Oryctolagus cuniculus: one gene and its partner. The protein of the gene in region 1 purifies or fractionates together with the protein of each later gene. This does not show direct contact. Links are inferred from orthologs where the notes say so. Each region holds a gene or a part of one and is shown on either strand. Other genes may lie near its edges. The genes, in order: SNRNP40 and DDX23.

Region 1 (3,911 bases):
GAGGGTACAGATTATTAGGCAAAGTCGTATTTATTTATTTATTTATTCTTACACATTGTGCAACCTACATCAGTGCTCACAGTCCACATACAAGGAAGCTGGGCAATGGTTCGAGGCTGCCATTTACTCTGGCATGGGTACACTATGAGAGGCCCACAGAGAAGGGCCCACCATAAATCCATTACCATGCTCCAAAGTAGTATTTATTTACCTTATTTTATTTGGAAGGCAGAAAGGTATATACACAGAGATGGGGGGGCAAAACTCCCATTCACAGGTTCATTTCCCATATGCCTGTAAGTTGGTAACTCAATCCAGGTCTCCCACATGTGTGGCAGGAGGCTGGATTGAAAACGTTGAGTACAGACACCCCTATGTGGGATGTGGGCATCCCAAGTGTCACAAAGCTGGCCACCTGTGTGTTTTTTAAATTTTTAATTTATTTGAGAAACAGAGCTCATTCTCTTCTGCTGGTTCACTCCCCAAAGGATTGCAACAGTTGGGGCAGGCCAGGCCAAAACCAGGAGCCTGGAACTCAAGTTAGGTCTCCCATGGGGGTTGCAGCGTCCCAACTATTGAGCCATCACTTGGTGCCTCCCAAGATGCGCATGAAGATGGTATTGTAGTGTCAAAATCAAAATGGAGTGAGATGGCTAAAAGCTAACTGCAGATCTCTTGCTTCTGTACATGTTAGCTTTGCCTGCTAACGGCTAAGGGTGTATCTTGTGAAACTATGTGGGCCCAAATTCCCAGGAACTAGGTTGACAGAAATGTGTCCTTCACTGTTATCTTACAACCACATCTTGGATTTGTTACCAGGTTTGTTATTGCTAACTGTTATCTTACAACCATATTCTGGTTTTCTTTTTATTGTTCACTGTATACCAGAGGTTCGGTTGGAAATTGTGAGCCCTAGTGGACAGAATACTATAAAAAGCTGTGTAACCACTGTTGGGGGCCGTACTCTGGTAAGGAGTGTCAGACCCAATAGGTTACCGGTCCCGATTGGTTACCTTGCCTCTCACTTTCAATAAAATTCCTGTGTGACTGTCACTGGCTTTTCTAATATTCTGTTTTAGCTGATGAGTGGATGCAACAGTATCAGGAATGCAACTCGGAGTCAAACCCAATGGAAGCAATGGATCCTAAGCAGCACTTTCATTCCTATGCCAAGTGCCAGCCCCTGGACTTTGGTTTTTACTCTGAATGAATTGGAAAGCCACTGGAAAGTTTTCGGCAGAGGGCAAAGTGATCTGACATTTAGAAGAACAACTCTGGCTGCTGGATTGTTAACAGACTGTCCCTAAGACGGCAGAAACAGGAAGCCCAATGAGGACCACACAACAGTCATGCCAGACCAGGAGACAGGGATGGAGGCCGTCAAAGTGGTAACAATACCGGATATATTTTGCGGCAGATGCCACAAGGATTTGGTTTAAGAGTTGAGAGGCCAATATCACGAGCAAAGCGGGAGAGGTGTGCTCCCTGTCTCTATCTTACAAGAAATGGAGTGAAGGGCATGGATTCCGAGTTCAACATCTAGATAAGAGTTTGTTTTCCCGTCTGCAAAATGGGGTAACAGTTCCTAACCCACAGGCAGTTACAAAGATTAACGGAGATTTCCTATACAAGGCATCGGTACAGGGATCCTTGAATGTTCGCTATCACCCAGCTGTTGTTAGTAACATTACCGCAGAGAAACAAGGGCTAAGTAGCTTGCCCAGTATCCCGATCCGAGTCAGCATCATCTACTTCCCGCCCTCATTCATTCGTCCACCCACTCTACCAACTTCTTCGTGGATGCAGGACGCCCAAGATGGGCCCGGTCTCAGCGGTGGGCCCAAGATTAACCCCAATTCCATCGCTCCCTCCCAGGGCAGACGAGACGAACAAACGGACCTCAAACGAGGAAACGTGTGGGGCACCCGCAGGGCTCCGGGCGCTCTTACAACGTTTAGCTCCCTGAACTCTACGTAGAGCCCCCTGTCCCCCCAGTGCCGGACCGCCCAGTGCAGCGCTCGGAGGGAGCAGGAAGATGAACTGCGGGCCCGACGCCGCGTGCCACCGCACTTACCGCTTGCAGCAAAGCTCCCGGCGTTGCTTGCTGCTGCCCTGTTCCGGGGCCCGATCCCGCCGCTCCCAGCAGCAACTCATGGCGCTGCCGCTTGACTGGGACCAGCGGCAACTCTGGGCCTTTTCGTTTCTGCTGTTCTATCATGGCGGCAGACGCTTTCCTCAGAGCCGCCACTGACCACACCGACAGCTCTAGGCGCCGTGCGATTGGTTCCGATTTTGTCCTTCCTCCAGGACTTCCTGTTTGAATGAACCAATCGGCTTCCAGCATTCCCCGCTGCAACGCCCTCTGAATAGTCTCTTGTTATTGGTCATAGCCTTCTGACGCCACGGGAGCGTGATCTCAGGATTGGTGGGTGGAGCTGGCGTCCCGCCTAGGCGCGCTGTGTCTTGTGGGTGGGAACTGGCTGACTGGGTTTGGCGTTTCGCGCGATGCCGCGGCTGGGAGACCTGAAGCTGACGCTAAGTGAGTATGAGGTAGCTGAGGGGTAGCTGATGGCTCTAAACTGGAGCCGACGCCACAGCCTTGCGGCCTGAGCCTGCCTTTCAGCCGAAGGTGTTGCTAGCAAAGGGCGGGGGGCGGGCCTCGAATTCTCAGCTTTGGTAAATATTCCCTTTACCGCGCAGAAGTGGAGCTTTGGAGTCCCTGACGGCAGGTCGCAGACGGCGCCGGATGCCTGGGACCCTGCACCGCTGCCTTGATCGGCAGGCGCCTGCTGCGGCCAGCCCTGGGTCAGGCGTTCTTAGGGGGGTAAGGCTCGTATCCCCGCCGCCGCCAGTGCCTGTGTGGCCGAGGAGGCTGACGTGTGTGTGTGCCTCTGATTCTGCAGTCTTTTACTAGGGCCTGCTCCATGCCCCGCGAGAGGCAGTGGCGACGGACATGTCCGGCTCCTTCTCCAGATCGTGGTCTTGTTGAAGAAATTTGACATATAATACCTGTGAACCTGGGCCTCGCGGTTGTCCGGCTTAGCATTCTCTCTGCCTAGCGTTGAACCTAACGCAGTCCCCGATCTCAGGGCTTCTCAGTGTGGTGGGGATAACAGATACCACACAACGACCTCCCTGATAAACGGAAGTGCTAGGGGAGAAGTCTGATGCTGCGAGTGCCTGAAATGAAAAGGCTTTTCTGAGCAAAACGTGCCTGTGCTGCTGTCTACAGGCAAGGAGTGTAGCTGGGTAGAGAGAGGAAGGCAGAGCACTTTATTTGGAGCAACAAGTGCAGAGGTTCTGTGTCGTTTGGAAGGAAAGTGACAAGGGCACAAAGAGCCAGTGTGCTGCTACGGAGGAAGTGAAGGGGAGTACGGTACAGGGTGAAGCTGGAGGCTGTAGAGGCTGTGCAGGAATCTGTCCTTGTTCCTTTCAGACGGGGCTGGGAAATCGCTGAGGATCCTTTCTGGGGAGCAGGGCCTGGCGGAGGAGTGGCAGAGGTGGCTTGATCCCTCAGGCTTCGTGGTGTGAGCAGATTGGGATGGGAGGGACCCTAGTGGATGCAGAAAGGTCACTTACGAGGATGTACAGAGATGCCGGTCAGAGATGTCGTCAAGGAGAACTGAGGGAGCCGGGCATCTGCGGAGAATTGGGCAGATTAATCTAGAGCTCGAGGTAGGGCTTGGTGGTGGGTTGAATTCAGGAAGGAGAAAGAAAGGAATCAGAGGGGAGTCCTAGGTTTCCGGCTTGTATATTTGAATACGAGAAGATGACTCGAGTCCAATTTTTGGTCTTGATATGTTTGGTTTTTTGGTGTTTGGTGGTCACTCCTAACATCCAGGAGGCAGTTTGAAATACAGCTTAGGTGTGCAGAAATACAAATTTGGGAATACTTGCTATATATGTGATCA
Region 2 (3,911 bases), on another chromosome or scaffold:
GTCACTACTTGGGGGGGAGTGAACCAGCAGATGAAAAATCTCTTTCTGCCTTAAGTCTTCCAAACAAAACAAAACACAAACAAAACCAAAGAAACCAGGGGAGGTGGGCATGTTGTGGCATAGCAGGTTAAGCCGCTGCTTGTAACACAGGCATCTCATATCAGGGTGCTGGTTCCAGTACCAGCTGCTCTGCTTCTCAGTCAGCTTCCTGATAAGGCTCCTCTTAGAAAGGGAGCAGAAGATGGCCCCAGTGCTCAGGACCATTTGGTAGATGGGTACCAACATCTGGAAGATCTGTCTCTGTAGCTCTCCCTCTCTGTCCCTCTACCTTTCAAGTAAATAAATCTTTAAAAAAATTTTTAAAAAAAGGCAATATAGTAGAGTGAATTTCAAATAGTTATGAACAAGGAGAATAAAATGGGGTGACATGAACAAGAGATGGATGGCTCAAGAAAGAATTTTTAGTTTATATTTAAACTGAGACTTCCATGATGGGAAAGACAGAACCAGATCTGTTCAGGGAGAATAATTCATTGGGTAGAAGAGACAGCAAGTACTAAAGTACTGAGGCAGGAGTTAGCTTAGATGTCTGCAACTAAAAATCAAACTGTAGGGCCAGCATTGTGGCACAGCGGACAAAGCAGCCTGTGATGTCGGCATTCCATGTGGGCACTGTTTCAAGTCCTGGCTGCTTCACTGCTAATGCACCTGGGAAAGCAGTAGAGGATGGCCCAAGTGCTTGGGCCCCTGCACCCACATGCGAGACCCAGAGGAAGCTCTGGGCTCCTGGCTTCAGCCTGACACAGGCTGGCCATTGTGGCCACTTCTGGAGTGAACCAGTGCGTGCAAGATTTCTCTCTCTGTCTCTCCTTCTCACTCTGTAACTCTGCCTTTCAAATAAATAAAAAATAAATTTCTTTAAAAAAGAAAATAGCTCCTAAATTTGTGGTCTGAACAGTCTGTTAGTTTGAGTTGCTGATAGAGAACCAACCAAAGACTGGGGAAGGAAGAGATTGAGGACGGAACCAAAAGTTCCTTTCGGCCAGGTTGCAGCTGAGACCTCTGTAATAAGACAGCCAAGAGGGGAGTCTCAGAAGGCATATGGAAATGCAAACCTGGAACTCAACAGAGGGTCTGGGGACAACCATGAGTCACAGGTACATAGCTTTTGAAGCCACAGAGCACTAAATGATATTACCCAGTTAGGAAGTAGAGTTAAAGAAAGAAAAAGAAGAGAACCCCATAGTAAGTTCTGGGACACTCTAAACACTTAAGGGTCAGGCACAGCAGCAGTAAGAAATATTGTAGAGACTGGCGCTGTGGCATAGTGGGTAAAGCCGCCGCCTGTAGTGCTGGCATCCCATATGGGTGCCGGTTCAAGTCCTGGGTACTCCACTTCTGATCCAGCTCTCTGCTGTGGCCTGAGAAAGCAGTACAAGATGGCCCAAGTCCTTGGGCCCCTGCATCTGCATGGGAGACCTGGAAGAATCTCCTGGCTTTGGATGGGAGCAGCTCCAGCTGTTGCAGCCAATTGGGGAGTGAACCAGAGGATGGAAGACCTCACTCTCTCTCTGCCTCTCTCTGTAACGCAAATAAATGAAATAAATCTTAAAAAAAAAAAAAAAAAAAAAAAAAAAAAGATTAGGGGGCAGAGAAGTGAGTACAGCATTTGGGGAAATAGAGATTATTTGTGACCTTGACAAGAGCTGTCTCAGTGGCACAGAGCAAACCAGAAACTCAAGTGGACTCCGGCCATGCCTCCCAGCAGCCTTCCTCTCCAATTTCCTGAACTTTTTAGTTCCTCCGTTCTTGTACGGCCGGGGCAGGTCTCCCCGCCCCCCCAACTCCCATTCTGTTAAGTATTTTCCAACCATCTACCGCATATAAGGCACAGCGCAGGACACTGTGCGAGTTACAACAGGAAGTCCCATCCCTAAGAAGCTTTACGACAATAGAGGGTCTGAGAACCCATCCTAGTACGGCAGGCTCGCATGAACTAGTAGGGGAGTTCGAAGAAGCACTTCTGCAAGGCTCCACTGAGAAAGTGGCCCTTGATCCCTTAGGGATGGGTAAGGAAAGAAACAACTCCCTAATTCCCGGCCTAATAATACCGACGGCACGGAGGCGGGAAAGTACGGGCTGCTTCTGGGAGAAAAATTCAAGTTCCAGTGTGACTGCGGCACCGGGCTACGAGAGGCAGGAAACAATCAGTCGTGCCGGCGGCCAAAGGTCTGAGCCCGGAACATCGTCCAGAACGTGGCCTGAGCCCCAGCAGCCAGCACTCCCCCTGGGGCCCGCGCCCCTGCGCTCCTGCCCGTCTGAGATTTCCCCCGGCTCGCGCCTCTTCCCCGAGGCGTTCTTCCGCGCCTCATCCCGGAGGCAGGGGCCACAGCCATGCCCCCGACACTTGCCTTCTCTACAACCTCGAGGGAACCATCTCCCCTGCCTAGAACTCACCACCCTGAGTCGGAACCGCCCAACGCGGCCTCAACGTCGCCGAACAGCCGCCATCTTTCCCGTTTCCTGGTCGCCGAGATGCACCCCCTTGCCGCGCGGCAAGCTGGGAAGGCGAGTTCGCGGCGCTGGGCAGCTTAAGCCGACAGTAAGGCCCTCAGAACTACCAATCCCAGGATGCACGGCGCCCGCGCCTGCCGAAGGCCGCAGGGACTGCTGGGCAATGTGGTTCGCCAAGCTTGGCGTGTGCGAGGGAAGTTAGCAGTGGGCCGGGTTCCTGCAGATCTTCCCGCGGTTCAGTCTTCCTGGAATCTGCAGGCCTTCCAAAAGCTACGGTAGCGACCGTCGTGGCCCGTGCCTTACACGGTATGAGTTTAAGGCTTTGCATTTCTATAGCATGGCTCTATGATGGGCTACTGCGAGCAACCACAAGTACCGTTTGTGGAAAAGCAAAAATCTCGTTAGATTGTTACCCATTTTATAAGATGAGAGTTGTACAATTCTTTATCGTGAGGAATTCCACCAGGCTTAGGACAGTGTAGCAACCTGCCCCACCAATCTCCCCTACTGTTAACACTTCATCCTCTGATCTGGGCTGTGGCACCTTCTTTCTCTTTCTTTCTTTTTTTTCTTTTCTCTCATTTTCTTTTCTTTTTTAGATTTATTTATTTTATTTGAAGAGCAGGGCTACAGAGAGAGGTCTTGAATCTGCTGGTTCACTCTCCAAATGGCCACAACAGCAGGAGCTGTGCCGATCCAAAGCCAGGAGCCAGGAGCTTCTGCTAGGTCTCCCATGCGGGCGCAGGGGCCCAAGGACTTAGCCCATTTTCTACTGCTTTCCCAGGCCATAGCAGAGAGCTGGATCGGAAGTGGAGCAGCCAGGACTCGAACCAGCGCCCATATGGGATGCCGGCACTGCTGGCGTTGGCTTTACCACTGCGCCACAGCATTGGCCCCATGCATCTTTTTTCTTCAGGTTCCAGTAGGGACCCCTGCAGTCTTTGGGCTACCTTTGTGTTGGTTTGTTTTTTTAAGGTTTTATTTATTTGAGAGGTAGAGTTACAGACAGAGAGAAGGAGAGATCGATTCTCCATCCACTGCTTCACTCCTAGGCCAATCTGAAGCCAGGAGCCAGGAGCTTCTTCCAGGTCTCCCAAGTGGAGACCATCCTCTGCTGCTTTCCCAGGTGCATCAGCAGGAGTTGGATTGGAAGTGGAGCAGCCAGGACTGGAATCAGTGCCCATGTGGGATGCCTGCACCGTAGGCAGAGGCTTAACCTACTACAGCACAGCACCGAACCCTATATGGGTCTCTTTCTTCTTCCTAGTGTCAGCCTCCCACTGAAGCTGTTTTATCACAAATCCTGTGCTCACTTTGCTCACTTTGTTTCTTGTTGGTCTTTTTGGATCATGATTCTTCCCCTAAAGCCGAACCAAGGCCTCTTTCCTTTGTTTTCC

What was found.
Region 2: the proteins of SNRNP40 (region 1) and DDX23 purify together in Homo sapiens (affinity purification with mass spectrometry; 3 studies listed by BioGRID and IntAct, counting the BioPlex papers as one, with this or other methods). This does not show direct contact. The link is inferred for Oryctolagus cuniculus from reciprocal best matches to the Homo sapiens genes SNRNP40 and DDX23.

Annotation. Positions count from the first base shown.
Region 1 is NC_091438.1:141,074,449-141,078,359, reverse strand, and holds the start of SNRNP40 (U5 small nuclear ribonucleoprotein 40 kDa protein), read right to left. Parts: upstream 2,284-3,911; 5' UTR 2,219-2,283; coding exon 2,075-2,218; intron 191-2,074; exon of another isoform or gene 54-190; intron 1-53. UniProt on the Homo sapiens protein: Required for pre-mRNA splicing as component of the activated spliceosome. Component of the U5 small nuclear ribonucleoprotein (snRNP) complex and the U4/U6-U5 tri-snRNP complex, building blocks of the spliceosome.
Region 2 is NC_091442.1:52,328,862-52,332,772, forward strand, and holds the start of DDX23 (probable ATP-dependent RNA helicase DDX23), read right to left. Parts: upstream 2,608-3,911; 5' UTR 2,458-2,607; intron 1-2,457. UniProt on the Homo sapiens protein: Involved in pre-mRNA splicing and its phosphorylated form (by SRPK2) is required for spliceosomal B complex formation.